Linked DNA regions of Pelodiscus sinensis. The protein of the gene in region 1 binds, or shares a complex with, the protein of each later gene. Links are inferred from orthologs where the notes say so. Each region holds a gene or a part of one and is shown on either strand. Other genes may lie near its edges. The genes, in order: SFN, SOS1, MLXIPL and PIN1.

Evidence for each region.
Region 2: the proteins of SFN (region 1) and SOS1 are in contact, whole or in part, in a crystal structure (PDB 6Y44), measured with the Homo sapiens proteins. The link is inferred for Pelodiscus sinensis from reciprocal best matches to the Homo sapiens genes SFN and SOS1. Residues at the interface, in NP_006133.1 of Homo sapiens: Glu14, Asn42, Ser45, Val46, Lys49, Arg56, Phe119, Lys122, Arg129, Tyr130, Pro167, Ile168, Gly171, Leu174, Asn175, Val178, Glu182, Leu218, Ile219, Leu222, Asp225, Asn226, Leu229, Trp230; in NP_005624.2 of Homo sapiens: Arg1158, Pro1159, Glu1160, Ser1161, Ala1162, Pro1163, Ala1164, Glu1165, Ser1166.
Region 3: the proteins of SFN (region 1) and MLXIPL are in contact, whole or in part, in a crystal structure (PDB 8BTQ), measured with the Homo sapiens proteins. The link is inferred for Pelodiscus sinensis from reciprocal best matches to the Homo sapiens genes SFN and MLXIPL. Residues at the interface, in NP_006133.1 of Homo sapiens: Gly53, Arg56, Ala57, Arg60, Gln67, Arg129, Val178, Tyr181, Glu182, Lys214, Thr217, Leu218, Gln221, Leu222, Arg224, Asp225, Asn226, Leu229, Trp230; in NP_116569.1 of Homo sapiens: Arg117, Ile120, Arg121, Asn124, Trp127, Arg128, Ala129, Trp130, Tyr131, Ile132, Tyr134.
Region 4: the proteins of SFN (region 1) and PIN1 are in contact, whole or in part, in a crystal structure (PDB 7AOG), measured with the Homo sapiens proteins. The link is inferred for Pelodiscus sinensis from reciprocal best matches to the Homo sapiens genes SFN and PIN1. Residues at the interface, in NP_006133.1 of Homo sapiens: Tyr19, Lys49, Asn50, Arg56, Arg60, Lys122, Asp126, Arg129, Tyr130, Pro167, Gly171, Leu174, Asn175, Val178, Glu182, Ile219, Leu222, Asn226, Leu229, Trp230; in NP_006212.1 of Homo sapiens: Arg68, Arg69, Pro70, Ser71, Ser72, Trp73, Arg74, Glu76.

What each region holds. Positions count from the first base shown.
Region 1 is NC_134735.1:2,336,088-2,342,927, reverse strand, and holds SFN (14-3-3 protein sigma), read right to left. Parts: upstream 1,947-6,840; 5' UTR 1,842-1,946; coding exon 1,089-1,841; 3' UTR 517-1,088; downstream 1-516. UniProt on the Homo sapiens protein: Adapter protein implicated in the regulation of a large spectrum of both general and specialized signaling pathways. Binds to a large number of partners, usually by recognition of a phosphoserine or phosphothreonine motif.
Region 2 is NC_134713.1:196,920,103-196,927,344, reverse strand, and holds the start of SOS1 (son of sevenless homolog 1), read right to left. Parts: upstream 3,008-7,242; 5' UTR 2,615-3,007; coding exon 2,528-2,614; intron 1-2,527.
Region 3 is NC_134731.1:16,406,507-16,414,277, forward strand, and holds the start of MLXIPL (carbohydrate-responsive element-binding protein), read right to left. Parts: upstream 3,013-7,771; 5' UTR 2,925-3,012; coding exon 2,497-2,924; intron 1-2,496. UniProt on the Homo sapiens protein: Binds DNA as a heterodimer with MLX/TCFL4 and activates transcription. Binds to the canonical E box sequence 5'-CACGTG-3'. Plays a role in transcriptional activation of glycolytic target genes. Involved in glucose-responsive gene regulation.
Region 4 is NC_134729.1:14,659,192-14,667,083, forward strand, and holds the start of PIN1 (peptidyl-prolyl cis-trans isomerase NIMA-interacting 1), read left to right. Parts: upstream 1-4,878; 5' UTR 4,879-4,979; coding exon 4,980-5,037; intron 5,038-7,892. Other genes in the region: UBL5 (ubiquitin-like protein 5), read left to right, coding at 740-783. UniProt on the Homo sapiens protein: Peptidyl-prolyl cis/trans isomerase (PPIase) that binds to and isomerizes specific phosphorylated Ser/Thr-Pro (pSer/Thr-Pro) motifs.

The DNA.
Region 1 (6,840 bases):
GCTGGCCGTGGCTGTTGGGGCCAGGTGGGTTCTAGCTGCAGGAAGCCACGGGACAGTGGCTGGGGTTTCAAACCAGTCTGAGCAGCAGCAGCGCTGGGCAGGGAGGGGAGTCAGACACTCGGCGCTGGAGACAGCCTGAGAAAGGGTAACAGACGCTGTTCCCGGGGCTCCTACTCCCTCGGCCCGAGCCCCGCAAAGTCCCTCTCCTCTGCGAAAGCTGCTGCTCCTCCACCCCCACCTATCCCCATCACTTCTCAAATGCAAGTTGGGCTCATGGCCCGCTGGGCTCTCTGGGGCACAGCCTGCTCCCAACACTCGACTTCAGCCTAGCGCCTCTGCTGGGGGCCAGCCCTCACGCACTGGCCAGCAGGCATCCTGCCTGGGCCCAGGCTGCGCTCGCTCCCTGCCGAGCCGGGGGCGTGCTCAGGACTCCCTGGCCCCTGTGCAGCGGGGCAGGCAGTGCTGACCGAGCCGCGTACAGGGTGCGGGAAAGAAGCGACGCCGAGGACGACAAAGGCAGGGGTGGAAGTGCAGTTTTATTGGAGAGGGACAGGCAGGCAGCGGCTTCGGCAAGGCACAAATACACGAGGCACCTCAAGTTTGTCATTCGTCACCCGCTCCGAAGATTCCCTCGGCCGGCCGGCCACACCCAGCAGAACCCTGCGGAGCACGGCGCCACAGGCAGCAAAGGGGAGCGCGCGAGTGAGCCGCCACCGCTCCACTTTGGTACCTTCGCCCCGAAAACCAACCTCCGCTTCCCCTTTTAAATGTTAATGGCTGGCAGCCCCATCAGGCCCCAGGGCTGGAGCTCAAGGAGACCCGCTGTTACACCCGGGTTGGTGGAACGTGACAGGTGCTCTCCCACTGCAAGAAGATCACAAGAAATGTTGGGGGGGGGAGGGCCAGAGAAGGGGGATTTGTCCCAAAGCTGCCACGAGAGAAGACGGAGTAAAAAGTGGGAATAACATGCACAGACCAGCCAGTCCCCTTTGCTGTCGGACTCCAGGCAGAGCTGTCGGGAGCCGAGCGGCGTCTTACACAAAAGGGGGAGGGGTGGGAAAAGCGACCGTCGCTCAGGGGGCTGCAGTTCAGTTCTTAGGCTCTTCCCCGGCTTCTCCGCCGGCTTCTCCGCCGTCTTCTCCCGCGCACTCCGCCGTCCATAGCGTAAGGTTGTCCCTGAGCAGCTGCATGATGAGGGTGCTGTCCTTGTACGAGTCTTCACTGAGCGTGTGCAGGTCGCCCATGGCTTCGTCGAACGTGGTTTTAGCCAGCGTGATGGCCTGCTCCGGGGCGTTGGCGATCTCGTAGTGGAAGACGGAGAAGTTAAGGGCGAGCCCAAGGCGGATGGGGTTGGTGGGCTGCATCTCCTTCTTGCTGATGTCCATTGCTTCCTGGTAAGCTTTCTGGGCGTTTTCTATGGTCTCCTTGCGGTCATCCCCGGTGGCTACCTCGGCCAGGTAGCGGTAGTAGTCTCCCTTCATCTTCAGGTAGAAGACCTTGCTCTCTGGGTCACTGGCTTTCTTAATGAGATGCTTGTCCAGCAGCCCCAGGACGACGTTGCAGACGTCCTTCAGCTCCCCCTCCACCTTCTCGCGGTACTCGCTCACCAGCGGCGTTTTCTCGTCGCCCTCCTCAGTCTTGTGCTCGATGCTGGAGATGACCCGCCAGGCAGAGCGCTGGCACCCCACCACGTTCTTGTAGGCCACCGAGAGGAGGTTGCGCTCCTCGTTGGAGAGCTCGTCCCCGTGCTCCACCACGGCCTTCATGAAATCTGCCATGTTCTCATAGCGCTCCGCCTGCTCGGCCAGCTTGGCTTTCTGCACCTGCTGGTTTCTGGCCATGGCTGGGAGCACGGGTGGCAAAGCGGCCGGTTCGAAAGGGAGCAGGCAGTCACCTCAGGAGCCCTCCGAGTCTCTGCTCCGCTCTGCTGATGGGATCGGCTTTTGGCTTGGCGTCTCAGCCTGGAGCAAGGGCTGGGCGTGGCGGAAAAGCACTCAGTGAACCCCTCCCCCACTTCCTGCCAGACAGCACTCTCCTTAAAAGGCAAGCGGCAGTGATTCACCTTGGAGCGCAACGGATTCTGCACCTGCCAATGTCAGAGAAATCCATCTTCACGCAAGGCCTCCTTCCAAACAGCGTGCTTGGCTGTCTCTCCTCACGGGCAGCCCTAGCCCCCTTTTGGGCAGCCAACCACTGGCGAGGCCAGGGAGGGCCAGCTCATCTCTCCTGCCCAGAGAAGGACCCTCCGGGGGGAATCTTGCCCTGCGGCTGACCTGCGCTTGGGCTCGCTCGAGACCCTCCAGCACTGAGATGGCCAATCCTGCAGCTTCCAACAGCCCCAAACGCCCTCCAAAGGCACGTTATCATTTTAAGTGTGATTGACACAAACGCAGGGAGATTCCCCAGGCAGCTCCTCATCCCATTAGCGTCCTCAGTGGAGTCTGGCTGGGCACCACAGCGGCAGACGTGGCAAGAGGCCGTGACCAAGCTCCTAAACAGATGGGTGGCTGAGCAGCTCCAACATTATAGGGCAGAAGAAGCTCTGAAAACACTGGCAGGTCCCTTGGGCTCTTCCCCCAACAGCAGGTTAATCCTAATCCGGGGCTCAAATCACACCTCGCACTGAAGTCATTTCACTCCCTTTGAACTCGGACTGTGTTGCGGAGCTGGCCTCAGTTTCCCAAAGGATGCGCTTATGGACCAGATGTCAGAAAGAAGTCACCTTGTGCTTGTGCCTGTGCAGCCCAAAGCTGCCTACGGAGCAAAGGAGCAGGTTGGGAACGCCGGGCCGGCACTGGCGGGGAACAGGGCCCCATGACCGCCCCTTCCCTTTGAGGGACGGAGAGTCAGGGAGACCACAATGCTCTCTGGAAGCAAGGCCAAGAGTCGACTGACCGTGGGGAAGGGACGGGACGGGATATTTCAAGTACCCCCCCTCCCATTTTAGGAAGGGGCACTCGGGCAACTTGCCGTGAAACGCCTCCGCTGAGACACAGCACCACGTCCCCCTGCAGACCTTCTGCTTTAAAATAAGAGCCTCTCAGGCTACTTCCTACCAGCCTGGCTCAGAGTGAGGGGCAGGGGACAGAGCTTAGGCCAGAAAGTAGGCAGAGGCTGGTGGAAAGGACGTTCTAAGACACAGGCCTCACCTCAGCCAATAGAAGCGGCCCTGCATTGTACCCACCCTTGGATTGCTGGGCCTGCGCCTTGCCCCAGTGACTGAAGACACTTGGAAACCCCTTTTTGCCAGGGCTCGGCTGCTCTGGGATCAGCTGCTGCCATTAGAATCGGGCTCTCCTGCTCTCCTGAAGTTTGTCTCTCCAACCGATCGAGCCTGTTCCTACTTGCCAGGGGCTGACTGCTCCACAGGCTGATGCTGCCAGGCGGCGTCCTGACAAATTCACTGCACTGAAACCTGCCTTAATCACTGGCCTTATCTGCTGGGTGGATGCAGCCCTGGGGAGGAGAGGGTGGGGTCGGTAACTCAGCTGTTCCCCTTTGCAGGTAAATTGCTCCAGCTGCCTGACTCACAACTACTCATCTGTGCAAAGCCACATCTGAGTGCCCCCCCCCCCCCAGCTGATGCTGAGCTCTTGGCTGCAGAAAGGCCCTGTCCTGGCTGATTTCAGTCCGGTGAAGGCAGACACCAGTTGGTGGGACCAGCGTGGCCTGGGGTGGCTCCTGCTCGCAGCCTGAGGCTGGAGAACTGGTTTTTAAGGGTTGAGAAAAGCCCACTACTGAGGCTTGAAACTGAACACCTACGGCAGGGTGGACTGAGCACGGTACCTCTCTGGGCCCTGTAACCAGAATATCTGAGCCTCTCCCACCCGCTCTTCCACATAGCGGTCTTCACACCTCCAACGGGCCAGGGGAAAGCGCCGTTGTCACCAGTGTATATACGGGGGGGGGGGGGGGGGGCGTGAAGGCACAGAGACGAGTGCCCTTTTCAAAAGGGCTTCTGAAAATCCCACTGCAAGTGACTTGCTCAAGGTCACCCAGGAAACCGCTGTCAGAGCAAGGACTTGCCAGTTTCCCATGTCCCAGCCTAGTGCTCAGGCCCCAGCCTTTCCCCTGACACCCCCCCCCCCACACACACACACACTAGTTTCTAGCCCAGGGCAAGTATTTATAGTCTAGGGAGGGGTGGGGAAACTATGGCCTGGGGGCTGGATGAGGCCCCTGAGGCTCAAGACCCCCCCCAGCATTGGGGAGCCCACGCTGGCACTCCAGCCCCCCACCTTCCCCGTGGGGCTGGAACATGCAAACTCTTGTAGCCTGGGCCCCCAGGCTCTGGTGTAGAGGGGGATGTGGGGTGAGGCTTGCTCCTCCTCAGGCAGAGCTCACGGCAGTGGGGGTTGGGGGTTTTGTTTTTTGCTTCTCACTTGTGTGCCGCCCGCAACCGACCGTTCTGAGGGTCTGCAGGCCCCCCCCCGCCCCAGCCCAGTCTAGGACTCTGCCAGGCTAATACTGGTCGGATCTAGGTACTCGTGTGAGGCTGGGCCGGGAGTCCTAGAGGCTGCAGGGAATGATGGGGATGCCATAGCAGGGCACAGGGAAGCTGTTCCTGGCCAAGTCCTGGGAGCGCTAGGAAAGCAGTCAGCCATCTTACAGGCCCTGGGCCTGAGCTAGCGCTCCAGCTAAGTGCTCCTTCATGTCATGCCCCCTCCCTCTGTGGAAATACCCATTCCTGCCCCTTCTGGGGGGGAATAACTGTTCCCAGCCTGGGAAACAATGTCTGATCCATGCAGCCACTGATCTCCACTCTCCCAGGCAAGGGGGCAAGCGCCGGTCTCACCTCCCCCGCCCAGCTGTGATCGCACAAGGGCCATAGCACAGGGCCCACGCACACCAGGATTACACTGAAGTTTCCCCAAGGAAGCTCGCCCCAGCTGTGGGTCTCACATGGGAACCCTCCCCCATCTCTGTCTGCCTGGGAGGGCCCAGCTCTGAGGCCACACTTCTCAGTGGGAGATCTGTTTATCCCGACCATATCCCACGTCTGTCCCCGGGAGCGGAAGGCAGCGCAGGTCTGCAGCAGGGAAAGCTAGAGCCTGGCCACGCTCTGAATCTCTGCTTGCTCTCAGTTGGTGACCCAGATTAAAAAGCCCTGATCTGCCTGGGGCGTACGCCGCACAGCTGTGGCCAAGCCACGAGGGGCTGGGGGCTGCAGTGGAAGTGCACAGGCCCCTGTGGAGGGCAGCACCACGTGAACCTTCTCCAAAGGCAGCGGCAGCTACGGCCAAGCGAACTACATGACCTGGGCTGGGCCAGAGCACACACGTGTCCCAGCATTACACACTAGGGCCGGCAGCCTGTCCAGGGACTGCGCTTAGTGCGAACCCCAAGCCTGTTTGCCAAACTGTGGGAGCACGAAGCCGGCCGTCTCTTCGGCCTGACTCACGTGGGAAAGGACCCTGGGGACATGGTGCCGTCTGAAGTACAAGTTCAGCACTAGGCTCGGCAGCCTGCAGTTCCCCTCCCGGGGCCTGCCGGCTGTAAACGTTTGAAGCGCAACGTCCAGCGTGGTGCTCAGCCCTGCTGCGCTCCTCCGGGGCCAGCTCGCCCCGGACTGCCCCTTGCATCCTCATGCTGCGGTGGCCGGCTGCCTTCCTGCGGGGCACCTGAGAGAAAGGCGGCCCCTGGAGCTGCGCACTCAGTCCGACTGAAAGACGTGAATCTATTAAACTAGCTCTGAACAAGGGAGGTTCGATAGTTTAGCTAGTCCCGTGGGAGGGGCACAGATCACCACCCGCAGGGCTGTCTCCTCCTCCCCTCGTGTGCTCCCTGCAGCAGCTCCCACACGGGACTAGTGCTGTGGAGAAGGCCATTTCCAAGAGCCCTGGACTAGCCTGCAAGCGTATGCAGGACACAGCCCCCCCACCCCCGAGCTCGTTTGAACCAGCCCATCCTTCCCTGCAAGAGCCAGAGCCCCCGCCTCAGTTGGGCAGAAAAAGCCAACAGGTCTGCACGGACGAGGTTTGCATCTGGGCAGGCTCCAATCAGGAAACATGGCGACAGTTCAGCAGACCTTTGATGCCTCCCGTTCTTGGGACCAAGCCATGTTTCACCCCCACCTTCCGGGGCCCCCAGCAGTGCCAAGCTGGCTTTAGGGTGAGGACGTTCCTGGCTTTCCGCCCCGTATGGTTAACACAGAAGGTCAGACAGACACACGCCACATCTAGCGCTCCACCTTCATTCGCTCCACCCTCTCCAGAGAGCGCGCACATGCAGGGCAGCCGGGAGACGTCCCTCCTTGGGCGCTGGGGAAACAAGAGCCAGATGCCCATGTACAGTAAATAGGAGAAACTTTATTTTGTTACAAAAGTACAAGGCGTAAATGGATTTCACACCCGCCCAGCCTGTGCCTAGTTCTTCTGCTCAGTCCTTGGGAGGCAGCAGAGTCTATGCGGGGACTGCAAAAGCTGCTACTGACACGGCTACTGCACTTAGGACACCCAGGAAGGGGCTAAGACTCAACTGCAGAACATCTTCACACACTACCTAGGTCGCTGACAGGTGCCCCCTCTGCCTGCACACGCATGGCGCAAGCAGCTCACGGCTGAGGGGGAGGGGCGGCGTACTGGCCGGTTCTGGTAGAAATGCTGCTTCGCAATCCTCTGATTCCAGCCGTGAACACACCATACTGAGCCTGGGGAAGTCTCACCTCCCCGCTCATCTCACTCAATTACGTCAGTCTCTTGAGGGGGGCCACTGTCCCACTGCCGAGTAAGGCTAGTCCCAAGGAGCCCGCAACGGCCTTTGCTCAGTTGCACGAGTCTCTTTCCAGCAGCCGGAGATGGCAGAAACTCCAGTTATTGTGCTCGGAACGGGCGTATTTAT
Region 2 (7,242 bases), on another chromosome or scaffold:
TAATGAAAGCATCCTTAGCAAAAGGCATTCTTACAAAATTATACTAAAACTAAAGTCAGGTCATTAAGCCACAACTCTAATTAAGCAAAATATTTTCACTATAAAAGTCTACCCCCTCAAGTTCTTGTAGAGTTTAAAAGTAAAATTCTAAGTTCTGCCTTAAGAATTTATTATATTTTTCCTTTAATAAAAAGAGTTGAATGTTATTTTTAAAGGCTAAGACACATAGGCTAACCATCACAGCTGAGAAATTTCATATGCACAAACATGCAGGGGGATAAACAAATATTTCAGTGTAAAAGGCTGTGCAAGTTCCTTTAAAGCGATATTTGTTTAAAAACAGAAATTACAAGAGATTGACAACAAGCAACTTTGAGATGAAAAATCATTCCACAACTAACAAACTTGGAAAAGAAAGGAAGTCCCACAAAAAGTTACAATTAAACAATAACAATAGATTTCTGAGCCAAGCTGGAACACAAGAGGAAGGATGTCCAAGGATAAGGCTTCACTGGCCTGATCTCTTTGGTATGGTAAGACTAAGTGAGCCTGACAAAATATAGTTACTCTAAAAACAACGATCCACAAAAGGACAACACAAGAGAACCTAACCAAATGTACTGTTATCTGCAAACATACCAACTTAAGAAAAATCTATCAGAATCTCCCCCTGTGTTTCAGTATGCTTAATAGCATAGTGTTGCACAGTGAGATCTCTCATTACGAAGGTCATAAAATTTACTGCAGTACATTCAGTACAATATGAACTATGACAAACAAAACAACAGATATGAAATAGTTAATTTTTAAAATGTATTTGCAATATTTGATATCATGTGATGTATCAGCCAGTCATTAATGCAGATAAATGAGGCTGTAATGATGAAAAAAAAAAAATAGCCACCCTTGGGCTATAAACTAGGCCGTCACACCACAAATTCGACATCAGAGAAGCACCAAGACACAAACCAGAAGTAAGGCTTTCTCTACACTTAACAGTTTAAAGTGCTGCAGTTTAAAGTGCAGCCGCAGCAGCACTTTAAACTGAAAGTGTGGCCACCGCAAGAGTGCTGAGAGCTTTCCCAGCGCCTTATGTAAACCACCTCTGCGAGGGGAGGAGCTAACAGCGCTGGGAGTGTGGCTGAGCCAGAAAGTTACAATGCTGTGAAGTGTTAGTGTGGACTTGGCCTTAGTAAAATAGGATAGGATCATGTTTCCTACACTCTTGCTCCCTACACTTTTGCTCCAAATCTACTGACAAAGCTTAGAGAATCCTTTACATAGACTTCTTTCAGATAGCAACTAGACCACTGGTTCTCATCCAGGGGTACATATACCTGGGGATATGCATGGGTCTTCCAGGGGTACATAAACTTATCTGTATAGTTGCCTATTTTTATAAGAGGCTAAAGAAAAAGCATTAGCGAAATCAATACAAAGTAGGAATGTGAAAAGTTAACTGGTTAAGGGCTGGAACAGCTCGCCAGGCCTGCCACGGACAGGGGCTGCTCCAAAAGATTGCAACAGCCCCTGTCTGCAGCAGGCCTGAGGGACATGGGGGAGGAGGGTGCACATGCAGGGTCTGCTCCAGCCTGGCTCCGCCAGGGAGCAGGGGGCCCTTAACCAGTTAAAAAGTGAAGCAAACTTCACATTTAACCGGTTAACCAATTACATGGGATTCTACATCCCTAGTACAAAATGAAACCTTCACATAGCCAGTGACTTGTGTATGCTGCTGCATAGACTATACCCTGAAACGTAAGTACGATATTTCCAATCAAATGGATCAATTAGATAACTAAACGATAAAAATGAACCAAGTGCTCCTGTTGCCGTAACACCGCCCCGTGGCGCTCGGCGGCGTCTCGGGCCGTGGCGCTCGGTCACGTCTCGGGCCCGCGCCGTGGCGCTCGGCGAGGTCTCGGGCCGTGGCGCTCGGCGAGGTCTCGGGCCCGCGCCGCTCGGCGAGGTCTCGGGCCGTGGCGCTCGGCGAGGTCTCGGGCCGTGGCGCTCGGTCACGTCTCAGGCCCGCGCTGTGGCGCTCAGCGAGGTCTCGGGCCGTGGCGCTCGGTCACGTCTCGGGCCGTGGTGCTCGGTCACGTCTCGGGCCGGGGCGCTCGGTCACGTCTCGGGCCCGCGCTGTGGTGCTCGGTCACGTCTCGGGCCGGGGCGCTCGGTCACGTCTCGGGCCCGCGCTGTGGTGCTCGGTCACGTCTCGGGCCGGGGCGCTCGGTCACGTCTCGGGCCCGCGCCGTGGCGCTCGGCGAGGTCTGCGGCTGCTTTCCGTACGCCCGTAGGCGCGAAGGGAGGCCCAGCGGGCGGGGAGGCCGGGGGCGACCCAGCCGACTCCTGGAAAGGGCCGGGGGTGGCTCCTGGACCATCCCCACAAGGCCGCCCCTCCCCCTCAGTGGCGGGAGCAGCGTCCAGGCCACTGGAGACCCCCCCCCCATCCTTCCCCTCCACTGGGCCGCCCCTCCCCCGCCCGGCCCCACGCCCCGCCCCCCGGGGGCTCGCCCCGCCCCCTCACCTTTTTGAGGGCCGGCACCAGCAGCCCCCGCCACTTGGGCGCGTTCTCCTCGCTGAAGAACTCGTAGAGCAGCGGCGGCGCCTGCATCCTGCCGCCGGCGGGCGCGGGGCGCGGCGGGGGGGTCAGCGGGGGGCGCGGCGCGGGCAGCCGGAGGGCAGCAGCCGCCAGGGCTCAGCGCAGGGGGGCGGCGGCCGCATCCCGCCCCCGCCCCGGTCTCGCCTCAGCGCCCGCCCCGCGCAGGGCTCCGAGGCCGGCGGAGCGCTCGGCGGGGAGGCGCGCGGCCGCCCTGCCCCGCCAGCCGCGCGGGCATGCCCGGCCCAACGGACGGCCCCGGCCCGCGCGCGCCGCAGGGCGGAAGGACACGCGCCGCCTCACGGAGGAGGAGGGGTCTGCGCGCCGGGAGCGCGAGCGCGGCTGGAATTCTCGGGGCTTTTTTTTTTTTTTTTTTCCCCTCTCTCCTCGCCCGGACGGTTACTCCCGAGGGCGCCTGCGCGGGGAGGGACGGCGCAGGCGCGCCAGGCCTGCTCCTGCGCCCCGCCCACTCGCTCCCAGCCTCAGCGCGGAAGCGCGGCTCAGGCCGAGCGGCCAGGAATCGCAGCCGAGCGCCGAGCTGGGCCGGCGCGGGGAAGCGGTTCCGCAGGCAGCGCCCCCTGCAGGTCGGGAGGGGCTACAGCGGCTCCTTCTTTGGCCCCGGCCCTGGACCACCTGGCTGATGCCCTCTCACCTGCCCCCCTCCCCCCCCGGCTGCCAGGGCTTTACCTACCCCCCCCCCACCCCAAAAGCCCAGGCAGCTTCCACTGTTGGCTCCCAGTGAAGGGGCAAAACGTGTCCTATGGGGCCAGGCAGACAACAGCTTCACCCCCCCCCCCACCTTTTGCAACAGCCGTGCAATGAAACCCTCACGTTCCCACACCACAGCCCTGCTGTGACCATCTCCACAACAAAAATGTCACCTGTTGTCAAATGGCCTTGAAGTGTTACCCTCTTTCACCAGCTCTGAGACAGACAGACCATCACTAACCGTCAAATTATCACCCCCTAGCACAGATGTCCAACCCTGTCACGCTTCCACTCGGTTTTGCAACCTCCATCAAAATATCCCAAATTGGCACCAACGGCCTCCACTTGTCCTCATTGTACGCCAAATGTAACCAGTTCTCTCCAGCTGTCAGACTCATGAACAGACACAACATGGCCATAATTTTTGATCACATGGAAGCAGCTGGTGAAAAGTTCCTGATCAGTCACAACCTGCAACCACAAGTGATCAGCTATCAACATGTGTCATCACCTGTCTTCAGATGACAAAAACTGTTAACCCGCACCAACTGCCAGGACTGTCATCAACTGAGAAACTGCTCCAGGGGCCAAGCAATTTTACTTTGAGGGTAGCCGAGTTAGTCTGTTAGGCTACGTCTACACTGCAGGCTTCTTGTGCAAGAACTGTTTTGCGCAAGAGTTCTTGTGTAAAAGGTCTTCCGCAAGGGCGCATTAACACTGCCATGTGCTTTTGGGCAAGCAATGTGCTTTTGCGCAAGAGCGCCCATAGCACTGTGGACACTCTCTTGTGCAAGAAAGCTCTGATGGCCATTTTAGCCATAGGGCTTTCTTGTGTGAGAAAATCATGTTGCCCGTCTATACTGCCTTCTTGTGGAAGAGCTCTTGCACAAGAGGGCTTATTCCTCGTGGGGAGAGGAATAACTCTCCCGGGAAAAGCCCTGTTTTCTGACGCTGTACTTAAATTTACTTACGTAAGAATGTGTGTGCAGTGTAGACACCTGGCAAGTTTTTGCACAAGAACAACTGTTCGGCTACGTCTAGACTGGCATGATTTTCTGCAAATGCTTTTAATGGAAAAGTTTTTCCGTGAGATTAGCAAGGACGCTTTTCCGCAAAAGCACTTTTTGCGGAAAAGCGTCCGTGCCAATCTAGATGCGGTTTTGCACAAGAAAGCCCCAATCGCCATTTTCGCGATCGGGACTTTTTTGTGCAAAACAATACTGTGTTGTCTACACTGGTCCTCTTGCGCAAAAGCATTTGCGCAAGAGGGCTTTTGCCCGAGCGGGAGCAGTATTTCCGCAAGAACACTGACAATCTTACATGAGATCGTCAGTGTTCTTGCGGAAATTCAAGCAGCCAGTGTAGACAGCTGGCAAGTTTTTCCGCAAAAGCAGCTGCGTATGGTATGGTACCTTTTCCGCAAAAGGTATGTCTACACTTGCACCCTCTTTCAAGAGAGGGATGCAAATGAAGACATTCAAAATTGCAAATGAAGCTGGGATTTAAATATCCTTCTCTTGAAATAACTGGTAAACCTCATTGTATGAGCAAAAAAGGTTATTTCGAGAGAAGAGTTTTCTCTTGAAATAACCGTGTCTTAATAGCGTCTGTTATTTAGAAATAGCGCCATAATGCCATTATGCAAATGAAGTGCAGGATATTTAAATCCCAGCTTCATTTGCAATTTCAAATGTCTTCATTTGCATCCCTCTCTCAAAAGAGGGTGCAAGTGTAGACATACCCTTACAGAAAAAAAACAACAAATGGTCTGGTAGCACTTTATAAAGTAATAAAACATATAGATGGTATCATGAGCTTTTGTGGGCACAGCCCACTTCTTCAGATGATTGGAGACCTATTCTTGCTTACAGACAGCCCCCTAATGTGAAACAAATTCTTTCTGGTAACCATGCCACACAACCACATCATAAGCCTCCAGGAACCCAGCCCTGCAGCCAACTCTGCCCATGTTTCTGTACTGGTGAATTCATCACTAGAGCAAACAAGATAAGCCACCAAATTGAATGGTTAGTTGACTGCACATCCAGTAATTTGATCTATGCCAGCAGTGCCCCACTGCTACATATATTAGACAAACTGGACAGTCTCTGCGGGAAAGAATCAATGGACACAAATCAGAGATACGTAAAGGGAATGTACAGAAACCTATTGGGGAACATTTCAACCTTCCAAATCACAGACAGGTCTCCAAAGTAGCTGTCTTGTCACAAACCAGCTCTACAAACCAGATCCACAGGGAAACACTGGAATTACAGTTCATCTGCAAATTCAATTCACATGCTAATGGACTCAATTGTGATGAAAGCTGGTTGGGACACTCCCAATTTAACAACCACTGAAGGTGCTAACAGCTCTTTGTGTTTTCTCCTTCCTGACAGGGGGCTCTATTGACTTTGATTTTTATCTGCTTCCGTTTAAGTACCCATTCTCCAGATACTTACTAATACTCTGTCTCCCACCCACCCCCCTGCTTTTTTCTTCCCTCCCCTTCCCCTCCTATTTATTTTGAGTGTATACATCCCAAACTCATAACTCCAGTCATCTGAAGAAGTGGGCTGTGCCCATGAAAGCTCATGGTACCATCTACATGTTGTTAGTCTATAAAGTGCATTTCACAAATATTTGGCATTTTCTCCAGCTCCTGGAGGCAAGTGATTAAGAATCTCAGCTTTCATTTTTTAAATGAAGTGTCTAACCCACATGATTTTTTTAAAAGTTTCTCTCAGCAAAAAAAAGAACCATGTTGTGTAACCCCCAATAGCTGAGAAACCAGAAGACAAAATGACTTGACTTTTTTTCCTCCAGTATTGCTGACACCAGCAGTCACCTCTACAGGTCCCCAGCGATTGAGAGGGGCACTTGTTTCCAAGAGAGACCAAGTGGCACAAACTGCAATCAAGACCCACCAACTGTCAGCCTGTCCAGATGCTTTCCTCGCGTGAAGGTGGCCTTTGTATTACATTGTGTTCCCTTGCTCTTACAGAAGTTTACTTATCTTCGAATGGGGATAGAATTTTGCTTTAGTGGGAGAGTAAAGTCCAGACATAATTGAAGTTGCCCAAATGCTCTCTTCTTTGGAAACAGCAGCGTTTATAGTGATCCCTCATAGAATGGAGAATTCCTGCTCTTTCTTGGGGAATGTCTCACAGGCAGAAGTCAGAATCAGGAAAATGCTCAATCTGGAGCTGGCCTCAAAGGGTTCCAGTTCCCTACTCTGTGCACCTATCCTCACCAGAGCTAAGTGAAGCCTCTCCGAAGTTCAGGCTTACCATCCCTCTCTCCCTGAAGCTGTATTTAATGCGCCTATTCCTGTACAGTCTAAAGCAGTGTTTCTTAAACTTAAGACCAAGAAACACCAAACCATTTTTTTTTATGAGGAACACCAAGGATTTTTTGTTGAGGGAAAAAAGGGGGGTCAGGGAAAAGTTGACCAAAAAAAAAGAGAGGGGTTGGGGGAAAGTTGAGGAAAAAAGGTCACCTGCCCCTTTAAGCATGGCCATTTTGAACTCTATTGCTCTCCGCGGCACATCTCCAACTATCTCATGGCACACCAGTGCTGCAGAACACAGTTTAAGAAACACTGGTCTAAAGGCTATGAACTGCTCTTTATTAGAATTATCCAGAGGGGAATGACTTCCACCAGATGCAAGGAAAGCTCAGTCCTCCTCAATTATTATGAACAGGGCTCGACAAACTGTGGTGAGAGCTACTCGCCAGCCCCGCACCGTGCATGCGCGCAGTGCCGGAGAATGGGGCGCATAGAGTGACCAGCTGAAATCTACTTACCACGGGCAAGTAGAAACAGCAGTTTGTTGAGCTCTGGTTATTAATAAATCCTATTTGCATATATTTAATTGTAAGAGCTGCAGAATCATCCCCGATCATGAGAGTCGCAATGGTCATTTTGATTTTCT
Region 3 (7,771 bases), on another chromosome or scaffold:
GACAGGGAAATAGAAGCATGGAGGCATACACAAAGCCTCTGGGTTGGGCGGTACGGGTGACATCAGGATGGGGAAAGGAAATGGGGGAGGCACACAGAAATCCTGGCATAGGGTGAGGGGAAGAAATGAGGCAATATACAGAACCCCAACATGGAGGGAGAATGGGGGACAATGGTATGTGGAGGGAACCCCCACATTTTACAGCTGGTTAAAAATGCCAGAGGTTTCTTAGGGGACATTGTGAAAATAAATGATGAGTTTCTTTTTAGTTGGTCATCGAAGATTTTTTTTGTTTGGGATTTTTTTAATTAAAAATGAAAAAGAAAAATGTTGGTTTTCATTCTTTAAAAATATTCAATAAGTGAACCCGAACATTAAAAATTTAACCACAACTTTTCCTGAAAATGTCTTTGTTTCTGGCTTCTCATCCCAAACCAGGATAGCACCTGCCGGACTGCAGTCTGTCAGTGCAAAGCCTCATCTGGGCCAACAGAACAGCCCTCTTTTAAAGCTTGTTTTGATGAAAAGTGCCCAGCGTGACCCAGCACCGTGCTATTTACTGAGTCCTTTCCTGGAAGTCATCAAGCTGAACTCTGGCAGCCTCATTAGCAGAAGATGCTCCACACGTATCTAGGTGAGCAGTGTGCCTGGTAATGAAATACATGGGCGAGAGAGAAACTCTCCGTGGAAAGGGCTAGGCACAAAGGCTTGCTCGGCTCCTATGCCAGTGCAAAGGAAGCATAAAATGCTACCAGATCTGACTGGGAGCCCTTTGCAGTCGGGATGTGATAGTGTAGTCAATGAACCGATTAACCAATAAGCAAAAGTGCATAGGTTAATGCTATAGAGTACGTGCATTTCCCCGCCTCCCCCACCAGTGCATTTTTAGCAGGCTGGCCAGCAGCCCGGCTCATTTCTGGCTTGTGATGGGTCCTGGACCTGCCCCTGCTGCGGCTCTGCATTTAAAGTGTAGTAGGAGCTGGGCGGGCAGGCAGCCTGGCTCAGGTCTGGGAGCTCAGATGCTCCACCCAGACAGGGGCTGCTGCCACCCAAGCTGCTGACTCTTTATCAGAGGCAGCAGCACAGGGCAACAGGCAGGCGGTCTGCAAGGGGAGCTGGTTTTTTAACTGGCTCCCCTCACAGACCAGCACCTGCCTGGCACCCAGAGGCAAAGGCAGCAGCGCAGGGTGGCAGAGGGCTCCTCAAGAGTGAGGCCGGAGCACACTGGCTGCCGGCCCTGCCCCCAGGGACTATAGAATAGTCGACTAACCAATAAGAATTCATGAGGTTACTCGACTATTCAATTAACCGATATTTAACATCCCTAGAGTGTAGACTGTGCTGGGGCGTCACCGTGCACCCCGGGAAACGTCTAGACTGCAAGCTTCTTCTGAAAGAGCATCCACACCTCAAAACCGGATTGAAAACTGATCTGCTTTTTCGAAAGAGAGCATCCAGACTGCATGGAAAGAAATCCCTGATTGCTGTGCACAGAATGGCGCAGCAGAATGGCCACCAGGGCACCTGGGCTTTTTTCGATTCCCTCTTCTTTCAAAAAATGCCCCTGTTCTGCGTCCACACATGCCTTTTTTCAAAAGAGCTCTTTCGAAAATGGCGTTCTTCCTCGTAATCTGAGGTTTACCAATGTCGAAAACCCTGTATTCTTTCCATTTCATTTCAAAGAACGGCATTGCAGTGTGGACGCAGGTGACGTTTTTTCGAAAAAACAATGTAGTCTAGACATACCCCCAGTGTTGTTCGGCACCTGGAGGGGGGCCAGGCCAGTGGGGCCTTGTCTCCCCATAAAGAGCTGGAGAGTCCAGCTGGAGGGAGCAGCCCCAGAAGAGGGGAGGCAGATTGTTCTGTCTAGGTCCTCTGGGAAGCAGCCTGAAACAGGGCTGAGAAGGGAGGGCAGGCTGGCAGAGCAGACCATGTGTTCTAACAGCAAAGGGCTGAGGGAAGGGCACTGCCTCTGGGCAACAGGAGCAATGTCTCAGCGGGTTTCTGCAAGTGCAACAGCCCGTGTGCTGCTCTGGCCCCTGTGAAGGGACTTGGGGCTGTTGGGTAAATAGAAAGCACCAAGTGCGTATCGCTCGTTTCTCTTTTAATATGAAACTGACCCACTGCAAAGCCCCAAAATCTGCTACTCATACTGGGGGCTATGAGCCCATATTAGTACCAAGCTAGTCTGTGATCATGTCGCTAATATCCACCCCCCACTGCCAGGGACACAAAGGGGGGGCAGAGATAACATGCTGATGTTCAGTTGTAGGGCTCTTCTGAAAGAAAAACCAAATGGCTGCTGGAGCGATTTTCAAAAGGGAAAAGAGCCTGGGGGATGAGCCATGGCCAAAGCACCTGTTCTAACTGTATATTTTGATCTGAATTCAAAATGTGATCAATGTCCTTGACCCCTGTCTATATGCCAGAGGCCTGCCACACAGAGCTGGGGAGGGGGAATCCAGGGGTCCCAGTCAAAAGGATCCTCAGACTTACCTGTAGGCCAGGCTCATGCACTCGAAGAGTCGGGTGAGAGTTGGGTCGATGGTCCGGGGATCTGCTGGCTCCGGCTCAGAATGGTGGGGGCGTCGGCGGGGCACCAAGTCGCTGTGCGGCGAGGACACCATAAAGTGGCCGCTGTGGATGACCTGGGAGTGGGGCAGGGAGCCTGACCCTGGCCCAACACTGCCTGAGCCCAGACCCTCTGAGTCTGAATCAGAGTCTAACTCTGGGACTGTCCTGACCTGTGGGTCCAGAAAGGCTCCATGCAGCCCCACCTGCATTCCAGCGATGGTGCCCGGTGCAAGCAGCCACCCACCAGTGTGACCCTCTTTGTCTGTCTGGGGTCTGGGTACCTGGGAGGCCCACATCATGGCAGTATCTGAGCCCCACACATGTCCATTAGCATAAGGCGTGTGCACCATGCCCCCAGATCTGCATGTTGCTTCCCCACCCTCTCCCTGACTTGTTCTTTGTCCTGTGTCCTGCTTAGCTTGCCATTCCCCTGCTTCTTGGCAGTCCTATTTATAGGGCCCCCAGGTATAATCCCACCCCGCCCTCTTTACTCCAGCCATGCCTGTGGGCGGGGACAGGGGTGGGCGCTGGAGTCGAGCAGGGAATTAACCCCTTGTCTGCTGGATCCAGGGAAAAGGGGGAGCTCTGGGTCACACTAGAGTCTATTTCCATGACAAGCTGCCTACATTAAAGGAGAAGCCGCTCCAGCTTCCATCTGTTCCCAGCCCCCGCAGCTAGGAGGCCAGAGACAGGTCTGCTACTACAGCTCAGTTAGCTTTGTTTACCTTGGCTCAGCGCTGCTCTGCCTGCGAGCGGGAGAAAAATACACGGTATTTACCTAGCACGTCTGTACTAATGTTTCCCCTGCATTTCCCAGGGAACAAATACAGATTAAGGGACAAAAACAGGCAATTATAGCGACCAGGGTCCAGCTCAGCACAAAGCAGGGAGCGACTCGCGGAGTCATGCCCAGGGCCCTGGAAACAGGCAGCGTGAGAACCTGCTTTCAACTGGCTCCTCCAGGGTCTTCCGCTGAGCCAGAGAGAGGCAAAGATACAGACAAGTTCTCCCGGGGGCCTCTGAGGAGGCAAGGCCCCCAAGAACAACTGGCAGACTTACTCCGTCCTGGGCCTGAAAACTTACAACTGACGTGCTAAGGGGAGATTTTCAAAGATGGCTCACACCTGCCTCTGACTTCTGGGGGAGCCAAGCAGCCAGCCCCATGGGGGCCATTGAGAATCTCCTCACCCTTTGACCCAGGATGCATCTGCAGTGAAGGCTCTGCCCAAGTCTCCATGCTCTGTGCTGTCTGTGGGTGATGGTCTGCACAGGGGACAGGCTGAAGGGGGGTGCGGTGCTGTAGCCAGGTCACGACTGAATGAGAACATTGAGAAGAATGTTCCTAGCATCACGGAGTATGGCCAAAATGGCGTATTTGAGTGTTGGTGTCAGAATATAAGTATAATGATGGTAATAAGTGCTATACAATTATATGAAATGATATGCCAAGAAGGCTAAAGGCATATTAGGGTGCATTAGGAGGAGCAGTGCCAGCAGATCCAGAGAAGTGATTATTCCCCTTTTTTCGGCTCTGGTGAGGCCACATCTGGAGTACAGGCAGTCCCCGGGTTACTGATAGGGACTGTAGGTTTGTTCTTAAGTTGAATTTGTATGTAAGTCGGAACTGGTACATATTGTAGGGGAAACTCTAGCCAAACATTTCTCCAGAGCTCAGTTTTATTCTCCCACACCTCGCTTCCCTCAGTCCTTTATTCTCAAGCTGAGGTGTCTGCTGAGAAAAGCCGCTCCTCGTCTCCCTGGTCTGCTGGGGGGCGGGGGTAGCTTCGCGTCTCCCTGGTCTGCTGGGGGGAAGCAGCTAGTGCGGGGTTGCCTCACCCCATTTGTAAGTAGGGATCCGATGTAAGTCGGATCCATGTAACCCGGGGACTGCCTATATTGTGTCCAGTTCCGAGCCATCTACTATAGAAAGGATGTGGACGCATTGGAGAGGGTCTTGAGAGGGCAACCAAAATGATTAGGGGGCTGGAACACATGACCTATGAGGAGAGGCTGAGGGACTTGGGGCTGTTTAATCTGCAGAAGAGAAGAGTGAGGGGGGATTTGATAGCAGCCTTCAACTTCCTGAAGGAAGGTTCCAAAGACAATGGACAATAGTGACAGATGGCAGAACAAGGAGCAATGGTCCCAAGTTACAGTGGGGGAGGTCTAGGTTGGATATTAGGAAAAACTATTTCACTAGGAGGGTGGGGAAGCACTGGGATGGGTTACTTAGGCAGATGATGGGATCTCCATCCCTAGAGGTTTTTAAGTCTCGGCTTGACAAAGCCCTGGCCGGGTTTAGTTGGGATTTGGTCCTGCTTTGGGCAGTGGGCTGGACTTGATGACCTCCTCAGGTCTCTTCCAGCTCTATGATTCTAAATTCTGTATGCTTCAGTTTGAGCCTGCCAGCCATCCTTCATGATTAGACAATGTTGGCTGTAAAGTCTTGTTTCTTGTTAGCATTACACATTAAGTTGTGCCTCTTGTCTACATTGTAAATTAAATTAACTTAAACAACAAATGGTCCTGCAGCACTTATGTCCCAGCAGGACTTTTTGAAATTTCTTTGGTAACTATATGATCCTTTCTAAAATGTAATCCTGTCTAAAATGCTCAGTGAAGATTCTTTAACAGGAAACAATTGCTGTAAATCATTTGTTGTGAGTGGTGGATATGTACATAGTTAAGGATAAGTGTGAAAGCCATCACGAATGCCCAAATGGTGAAGAAGTGAGAACTTTAAAGACAACCAGGAGGCTAGAATTAAATTAGCAGAATTGATACACTTTGGAGACAGGACAAAAGAGATAACAATGGGAAGCCTGACAATAGTCATCAAAGGATAACTGTGGAAAACCGAAGCAAAATGCAGGACAATGTAGCACTTTAAAGACTAACAAGATGGTTTATTAGATGATGAGCTTTCGTGGGCCAGACCCACTTCCTCAGATCAAATAGTGGAAGAAAATAGTCACAACCATATATACCAAAGGATACAATTTAAAAAAAGTGAACACATATGAAAAGGACAAATCACATTTCAGAACAGGAGGGGGATGCGGGGGGGGGGGGGCGGGGGGGAAGGAAGGAAGGTAAGTGTCTGTGAATTGATGATATTAGAGGTGGGGAGAGTGGGATGTCTGTGAGCTAATGGTATTAGAGGTGATAATTGGGGAAGCTATCTTGGTAATGGGTAAGATAGTTTGAGTGTTTGTTCATTCCTTCCCGGAGAGTGTCGAATTTTAACATGAATGACAGTTCAGAGGATTCCCTTTCAAGTGCAGATGTTGTCACATTACCGAATTGGAGGGAAGCAGCCAGATCGCTGCTGCACCCCTAGGTGGGGGTGTTGGCCACAGAAATTGGTATAAAAGGGAGCCATGTGGGGTATTGAATGGGAGCCCCGGATTCGAGCAATTCGCCCTGAGCGGACGCCCTCAGCTGTGCCCAGACACGGCCCGGTCCGTCACAGTGGCGTAGTCGGCAGGATCCACAGATCTTGGTCAATTGAGCTTTGGGATCAGGACCCCACGCTGTCTAAATTTGATTTTTAGTACTGAGAGTTTGGTTGGGTAAAGGGCAGCCGAAATGAGTCAGTGCCAGTATGAGAGCCTAAATAGAGAGGCTCTGAAGGATTTGTGCTCGGGGAGAGGCATTGCCTTTAGGAAAAGGGCCTCTAAACTAGATCTGGTAGTGCTGTTATTAACCAGAGATGTGGATGAAAAGGAGCAGAAGCAAGCCAAGGAGGCTGCTGAAAGAAGGCGGAAGGCAGATGAAGAAATTGCTAAGAGAAAGCAGGAGATGGATCGGGAACTTGAGATGAGAAAAGCAGAACATGCAGAGAGAATGGCAGAGCATGCAACTGTGACGGACCGGGCCGTGTCTGGGCACAGCTGAGGGCGTCCGCTCAGGGCGAATTGCTCAAATCCGGGGCTCCTTACAGCTCCCCGACTGGTGACCTCTCCAAACAGGCCACAAACCAGTCCCACAGAGCGCTTCAGCTGCCTGCCTGAAGCCTCCCGAGCAAAACCCCTCCGACGCCCCAGCAATAACCGTGCCCCAGATGGCCCCGGGCCTCATACACAGGTGGGGGGGTCCTAGCACCCAATCCCACCTACCCCGAACAAGTTCTGTCCGGTTCCAAGAAACCAGCCACAGATCCCTGGTCAATTTACCCTCTGGACCTTACCCACAAATCACACTGGGCCAATCCTTTAGAATCTATATCTAAAGGTTTATTATTACAAGAAAGAAAAGCCTGAGAGTAAGGTTATTAAAGTACAGTACGTTACATGCACCGAATCTCCCAGTCCTCGATGCAGGCTCTAGCAGAGGTGTTGCAGCTGCTGGTTTAAAAGTTCTTATTGCACATCCTACGATCAGGATGGGTCCACAGGTCTTCCGGGCTCTTCAATCCCTGCATTGCTGCCTCTGGGATGAAGTGCTGAGCTGAGAACAACATGGCATCGACCGCATGGCCTCTTTATACCTCCTTCCTGGCCTCTTCTTGTATGCAGCAAGTCACCTGGTCAGAGGCCAATCTCTATGTTCCCTGCTGGCTGCCCTCAGATGACAAACCCCATTCTTTGGGTGTGTCCATAGCCCATTGAGAGCCATTGTCCCACAGGGCCTGGCTACTCAGCCTGTCCATAGCAATGCTTACCCACATTCAGAGAAATATTCAGCTTCCACACAGATTACAGATTCCTACCTACACACACAGACATTATATATTCACATAAATAGCGTACATAAGATCAACAAACAATAAGCTCCCATTCAATACCCCACATGGCTCCCTTTTATACCAATTTCTGGGGCCAACACCCCCAACTAGGGGCGCAGCAGCGATCTGGCTGCTTCCCTCCAATTCGGTAATGTGACAGATGTAAAAGGTCTTTGTAGCAGAATGCAGGTGGTTAAGTCATTGAGAGAGTGTCCTTTCTGGTTAAAATGGAAAGAAACTGTTTTCTCTTTGTGATCTTGTCTGATATCTGTTTTGTGGGCATTAATCCTTTGGCGAAGTGCCTGAGATGTTTGTCCAACGTACATAGCATACGGACACTTTCGGCACATGATAGCATTAATTATATTACTGGATGCGCAGGAATATGTGTTCTTGATCTTATAACTCACTTGGTTAGGTCCAATAATGGTATCAGCAGAAGGAATATGTGGACAAAGCTGGCAACGGGGT
Region 4 (7,892 bases), on another chromosome or scaffold:
GCTGGAGGTACATGCGTACACAGGCCCAGCCCCTCCCTACCCTGTGTCAAGGACTTTACTAGTCTTGAGCCTCCCATCTTCCAGGCACCCTTTGGTAAGGGGAGGGGGGCTGAAGATCTTCCCCAATTCGTAAGGGAGCATTGTGCACTTTCTCTTGCTGCCTGGGAAGCACAGGAGGCAGAAGAACTTGGTTTTCCAAAGATACCAAAAATTAATAAAGGACCTGAGCAATTCAGGGTAGTTCTTCTAGTCACTTAAAAGATCCACAACCTATGAAGTGGAGCGATGGACATATTATAAATACATAGCTAAACAGAGACACTTCCTAATCTGACGTAGTTGCTTGTTATAAACCAAAGGTCTCATTTGTCTCTTTGGGTACTAGTGACTGATGGTATTGGTAGGCTACCATAAGATAACTGGTGGACCTCTGGGAAAAAGTCCCTTACTAAATTGAGTGGGTAGCCTGTGACATGGGACTCATTTGCTGAGTTATGGTATTGAAGCTTCCAGTATTGCATATGACCCATGTTCCCTTGCATGACACTAGCAATTTATTTTATCAATTTGCGATAGAAACACACAAAGTGGGAAGGAGAATTATGTGAGAATTTGTCTAATGTATCAAAGAATAAACTTGCTGTTGTAATTTATTTTGAATTATTGACCAGGGAGAAACCTAATGTCACCTACCGTTTGAGCATTTCCTGTGGAATTCCCCTTAACTCATTCCTTTCAGATGAAATCCATGATGGCATGAACCTGGAGTTATATTATCAGTAGTCTTGAGTCTAGCTGCAGTTACAAATGGCAGGCATCACTTTTCTACATTTTTTTTCTGCTATAAAACTTGTCTATAAACTTTATTTCATGTAAGGTAAAAATTAGAAGCTCAAGTTGTGCATTCAGTTTTATCAGATATCTTCAGTTTTGATGGCTATAAAAGTGGCTGCAAACTTGTAAGAAGGCTGTTTTATTTTTAAAAAATGTTTGCAATAAAAGTTTCCTGATAACTTTTGTATCCTGCTCCTGGATTTGTCAGAAGAAATCTCTTCTTTAACTGACATAGCAGCCCAAATTAATGCAGCTGTTGGAAAGCAGTGGGCTTTAGACCCCATTTAACTTTCTGGAATCAGAATAATACTGTAGCACTCTCCATCCATCTGCTCAGAGGGACTCTCTTCTAGTTAGAGTAAGCAGCACATTTGCTTCGGGTTTGTATCTGTCATATTCAAGTTAGATTTTTTTTTTAATTTTTAAAAGAAATTTTGCATAGTACTGTGGTTAAGCTATGATCTGGGCAGGAAAATACGACCAACTCTCCCATCACACACTTGTTTCTAAGAGTGAAAGAAGAGCAATTGATTAAAAAAAATGCTTCAACAAGTAATAGGAATAGCAGTAATAGCCTTCCGAATACCTTCATTCTTAACCCATGCAGTCTCCGGTTTCCATGGAAAGTCTGTCTGATACAACTTCTCTCAAAGCTGTTATATTTATTCCCTTGTCACCCTTTTCCAGGCTCCTTTTGCACTAAACCCACCCTGTAACCTGTACTGGGATAAGGAACCTGATACGTTTTCCTGCACAACCTGAACTAATCTCTTGAATTCCTGTCTCATTGTTTGTAGCTGCTCCATCTGCTGGATGGACTTGCATTTTTGTGACATCCTTTCTCAGACACCTGGTGCTTCACTTTCTTCTATTTTGCCTGTAGTGACATCTTGCCTTTTCTACTAACTTTTAGTTATTCATCTCTTTGAGCCTTTTTTATTTGTGCATCAATAAAGTTCCTTCCTGCTTCTCTGTTCTAGAAGCCCTGACAAAATGAAACAAGAGCAATCAGATCACCCAGCAGTTTACAAAACAAAAAACAGAAGCCAAGCTAATCACCAAATGTGTAACCTGTATCCCATGATGCTTTTTATCCTCAACGTAAGACATTTACTAGGACTAGAAATTATGTTTAACATTTGGAAATATGCTTCCTAGTGTATTTTGGGGAAAACATTTACCTGCTAGTAGTAATATGTGATACCACTTCTAACATCAAACTGCAAGATCTCATCTCTAGTTTGTACAACAAGCTATTATTTGAGAGTTAAATGTGATATGAAATTGCACATATAATAGGGAGAGCAAAAAGTCACCTGGATGCAAAACTTCTGATGTGGCCTCACCAATGCGGAATAAAGGGGAATGATCACTTCCCTAGATCTGCTGGCAATGTTCCTACTAATGAACCCAATATGCCATTTGCCTTCTTGGCAACAAGAGTGCGCTGTTGATGCATCTAAGCTTCTTGTCCACTGCAGTCCCCAGGTCCTTTTCTGCAGTATTGCTGCTTAGCCCATCTGTCCCCAGCTGGTATCATTGCATTGGAATTTCTATCTTGAGTGTGGGACTCTACACTTGTCCTTGTTGACTCTTATCAGATTTCTTTTGGCCCAATCCTCCAATTTGTCTGGGCGACTCTGGACTGTCTCCCTGCCTTCTAGCATATCTACCTCTCCCCACCATCTTAGTGTTATCCGTGAACTTGCTGAGGGTGCAATCCATCCCCTCGTCCAGATCATTAATGGCCTTAGGACTATCCCTTGGGGCACTCTGCTTGATACTGGCTGCCAATTAGATGTTGAGCCTAACAATCTAGCCATATTTCTATCCACAATATAGTCCATTCATCCGAGCTGTATTTTTTTAACCTTCTGGCAAGATGAGGCCATATCAAAAGCATTGCTAATGTCAAAGTATATCAGTCCACCACTTTCCTCATATCTGCAGAACCAGTTATCTCATCATAGAAGGCAATTAGTCAGGCTTGGTCTGACAGGAATTCAGATTGACTGTTACAGATCACCTTCCTCTCCCAAGTTTTTCAAAATGGATTCCTTGAGCACCTGCACCATGATTTTCCCAGGGACTGAATTGAGGCTTACCAGTCTGTAGTTCCTTGGATTCTCCTCCGCCTCTTTAAAAGATGGGCACTGCATTTGCCTTTTTTGGTCATCTGGGACTTCCCCCAGTAGCCGTAAGTTTTCAGGGATAATGGCCACTCCCTCAGATGCATTAGATACTGCCCCATAGACTGAGCATATGATTTGTTTTAAATGGTCCTTATCTTGTTCTTTTACTACTGAAGGCTGCCCCTTCCTCCCCATTACTGTACTGCTCAGTGCAGCAGTCTGTGAGCTGACCTTGTCTGTGAGGACCAAGGAAAATAAAGCATTGAGTACTTCAGCTTTTTCTACATCATCTATCACTAAGTTGTCTTCCTCATTCATCAAGGATTCCTACACTTTCTCTGACTCCTTTCGTGCTGCTAACAACCTGTAGAGACATTTTTTCAGGGAAAGATATAGCTAGGTGCCAATTTAGTTTGTAACTGGAAAAACTTAAACAACAAATAGTTTTGCAGCAGTTTAGAGACTAACAAAACATGTAGATGGTGGTATGATAAGAACAGTTTAACCAGTTTTTAAAATGATACGTTAGCGGAAGCTGCTTATAAGAACTTGTAGTTAGTGTTCCTAGTGAAATAGACGGAATGTTGCTGAGTTTCAGGAGGTTGACTGCAAACTGGGCACCAGCAAGATCTCCATTTACAATGAAGTTTTGAGACCAAAATGATTTAACTAATGTCTTGATAGAGATTAATTTTCCTAATATCCCTGTGAACCAGTTACCACAGAAGAGAGAGATGGCCAGTGGAAGAGTCTTAATAGAACCCAGGATTTAAGAATTATTGTTGTGCCATAATTTGTAAACTGCCCCAAGAAGGCTGTACAATTCAGGGAGCTTGGATATTAATCTATGTAGAAGTGCTGGGCTGCTAACTCTTGTGATTCATTACTAATTTCACAATATTTTCTTTAAAGCCCCAGCTGCTGGAGCTCTGTGATTGTGACCCTCAATTGTCAGTAAGGAAAAATATGTCTAGCCCTCCTGCTTGCAGAGTGCAAGACTAAAACAGCAAAACATAAAACTTCAAAAAAATTAAATCTCCTTTTGCAGGTGCTTGACACATGAATACTTAGGATTGGTATTACAGAGGGATTTTGTGAGCATCAACGGAAGTTGGGGAAAGCCCTACACATTTTACAAGGGCAATACGCTCTGTACAATGAGCAGCAGCAGCTGATGATGCAAGGGTAGGCATCAGCTGGCCCTTGAGCTCCGGCAGAGAGAGAGGGGTCAGGGGCTTGCCCTGCTGCAAGTGTGCTGTGGCTCCCACAAGCAGCAGCATATCCCCCCTTCGGCTTTTACTTAGATGGCTCCATGTGCCGCTCTGGCCCAAGTACTGCCCCTACAGCTCCTGTTTGCTGGGAATATGACCACCGGAAGCTGTGGAGGCCATGCCTGCTGAGCAGGAAAAGTGCAGAACCGCCTGCCAGCACCTCCATGTAGGAGCTGGGTCGGGGTGAGGGCTGCTGCTTGAGACAATTGTCACATGGGGCCTACGCCCCCAATCTCTGGGGCCCCACCGCAGGGCTGCACCCCCCAGCCGACTCTCATGCCCAGCCCCACTTCGCCAGCCAGCTTCCCCTCCCTGCTGTGGTTCGGCGGCTAGCGAGTCCCTTGCACAGGGCCCGGGGGCTGCTCCAGGAGCCCCGTGCCAGGGACGGGGGGGGGGGGCATGTCCAGAACCCCCCCCCATTCCTGGGTGTGGCGGACACGCGGCCAGGGAGGCCCCACGGCAGCGGGCCGGGACATGCTGGTCTCAGGTCTCCCTTGTCCCGCCTCGGCTTCCGTCCCCTCCCTCCAGATTCACTTCCGGGATCATTGCGGCCTTTCGCCCGTAGCCAATCACGGATCTTCTGCGCCAATGAGACCGGGGCCAGGGCGGGGCCGGGACCGCCTCTCTCTCTCTCAGCCAATGGCAGCCGGCGGGGGCGGGGTCTCGGCCTTCCCCGCGCCAATGGGGCGCCCTGGCGCCAGGCAGGCGGGGCGCGGCCGGGCGGGCTCGCGGCGCAGGGAAGATGGCGGAGGAGGAGAAGCTGCCCTCGGGCTGGGAGAAGCGCATGAGCCGCAGCTCCGGTACGGGGGGGCGTGAGGGGCGGGCGGGGGCAGGCCAGGTCAGCTATGGGAGTGGGGGGGGCCGCGGCCGGGGGGGGTGAAGGGTCTGAGGGGGGGCAGGGCTCTGGGGGCGGGGCCGGGGGGCTGAAGGGTCTGAGGGGGGGCAGGGCTCTGGGGGCGGGGCCGGGGGGGTGAAGGGTCTGAGGGGGGGGCAGGGCTCTGGGGGCGGGGCCGGGGGGGGCTGAAGGCTCTGGGGTTGGGGGCGGGGCCGGGGGGGGGTGAAGGGTCTGAGGGAGGGGGCAGGGCTCTGGGGGCGGGGCCGGGGGGGCTGAAGGCTCTGGGGTTGGGGGCGGGGCCGGGGGGGGGTGAAGGGTCTGAGGGAGGGGGCAGGGCTCTGGGGGCGGGGCTGGGGGGGGCTCAGGGCTCTGGGGGCGGGGCTGGGGGGGGCTGAGGGCTCTGGGGGTGGGGGCGGGGCTGGGGGGGCTGAAGGCTCTGGGGGCGGGGGCAGGGCACTGGGGGCGGGGGCGGGGGGGCTGAAGGCTCTGGGGTTGGGGCGGGGGCGGGGGCGGGGGGTGGGGCTGGGGGGGCTGAAGGCTCTGGGGGCGGGGGCAGGGCGGCGGGGGCGGGGGGGCTGAAGGCTCTGGGGTTGGGGGCAGGGCTCTGGGGGTGGGGGTGGGGGGGCTGAAGGCTCTGGGGGTGGGGGCAGGGCTCTGGGGGCGGGGCCGGAGGGGGCTGAAGGCTCTGGGGATGGGGGCAGGGCACTGGGGGTGGGGGCGGGGGGGTTGAAGGCTCTGGGGGTGGGGGCAGGGCTCTGGGGGCGAGGTCGGGGGGCTGAAGGCTCTGGGGGTGGGGGCAGGGCACTGGGGGCGGGGCTGGGGGCGCTGAAGGCTCTGGGGGTGGGGGCAGGGCTCTGGGGGCGGGGCCGGGGGGCTGAAGGCTCTGGGGGTGGGGGCAGGGCACTGGGGGCGGGGCCGGGGGGGCTGAAGGCTCTGGGGTTGGGGGCAGGGCTATGGGGGCGGGGCCAGGGGGGGGGTTGAAGGCTCTGGGGATGGGGGTAGGGCTCTGGGGGCGGGGCTGAGGGGGGCCTGAAGGATCTGGGGGCGGGGCTGGGGGGCTGAAGGCTCTGGGGTTGGGGAAGGCTGTGGGGGTGGACCCGGGGGGGGGGTTGAAGGCTCTGGGGTTGGGGGCAGGACTCTGGGGTGGGAGTTGGGGTGGGGTCTGCGGGGTTGAAGGCTCTGGGGTTCGGGGCGGGGCCTGGGGAATTAAAGGCTCTGGGGTTGGGGGTTGAAGGATTTGGGGGCGGTGCCTGGGAGGTTGAAGGCTTTAGGGCTTGGGGTGAGGCCGGGGGGTTAAAGGCTCTGCGGTTGGGGGCAGGGCTCTGGGGTTGGCGCTGGAACCTGTGGGATTGAAGACTCTGGGATTCGGGGCGGGGCTGGGGGGGTTAAAGGCTCTGGACTCCGGGGCAGGGCTCGGGGGGGGGGGGGGGCGGTTTGAAGGCTCGGGTTGAGGGGTGGGGCTGGGAGTTGAAGGCTTTGGGGTTGGGTGTCATGTCTATGGGGGTGGGGTGAGGTCTGGGGTCTTGAAGGCACTGGGTCTGGGGTGGGGGGGCAGGCTTGTGGGCAGCTGGTGCTGCAGGCACTGGAGGGCAGAGAGTTTGGGCCTGCAGTGAATATAGCTTGGAGGGGTGTGCCTTGGAGATCCACTTCCCCAGCTGGGTGTCTACTGGGCTGTATTTACTTGGTCCCCATGGGTTGGTCTGGGGCAGGTTGTTCTGTTCCATGGAGTTGCTCTGGGGACTCAGATGTTCCCTTGAGAAGGGGATTGGGGAGGGTTCCCTGAATAGAGGCAGAGTGAAAGTGGCTTTATTCATGATGGGGTGGGAGGGAATTTAGTGAGGCAGCCTGGGGTTCTCACCATGTCCTTTGCTTGGGGATAAGCTTTCCCTGTTATATAGGACCTCCTGGCTAGGGTCCATGTTTGTTCACCTTATGGTGGATGGGTAAATCTGGAATGAAGCCCACGGGAGGTGTCTGTGTGGGGAGAGGAAGTGGATGCAGGTCCCAGTGCAGATGGGGGGGGCTGTTCTGATATGGGGTAAGGTCAAGTCTGGCTCAATGCCTTGGTACCCTACACGTTCAGGGTTAGAGGCAAATCATTGCACCTGTCTTCACTTCATTCCTTGTAGTTTTGCCAGGACACTGACTGTTCCAAGGTAGTTATAATTGGACGTTTGATCCTTGTGTCCTTGGGCTGTTGCCTTCTCTGCCATCCTCTATGTCTGAGAGTCAACACTTCTCTTCAGAGCATTTTGCTGGTTTGCTGGTTGAAATCCTTTGGGATAAAAGGGGTTAGAGAGAGGGAGGGAGTCACTCTGTCTGTCTGGTGAGAATTCCTGCAAGTGCAGGAATGAGCTGCTGCCAGCTTGGAGGGAAGGAGCAGAAAGCATCTCTAGGTTACAGTATTAGTTGGCTTGGCTTCACAGTGGTGTGGCCCCCGTCCTCGTGATTGCACGCTTCAGGGGAATTTTGCTGCTTATTTTAAAGAGTGGCTGCTTTTGGTCGAGGTATGTTTTTTTGTTAGCAACAGCAACCACAGACACATCCAGGATCAATGCTCCATTGTTTGTGCAGTGCCCACCACACTATAGTAAGACATGCCGTCTTGCTCAACTTTCTAATTACAAGATCATACAATTGTACGACTGGAAGGGGCATTTAGAATTCATTTAGTCTGGCCCCCTGGACTCCTGGCAGGACTAAGTATGATCTTGACCATCCCTGACTGGTGTTTGTATTACCTGCTCTTTAGAACTTCCAATGAGGTAAATTTCACAGTGTCTCTGTGTAATGTAAACCACCCTGTCAAGGAAGTTTTGC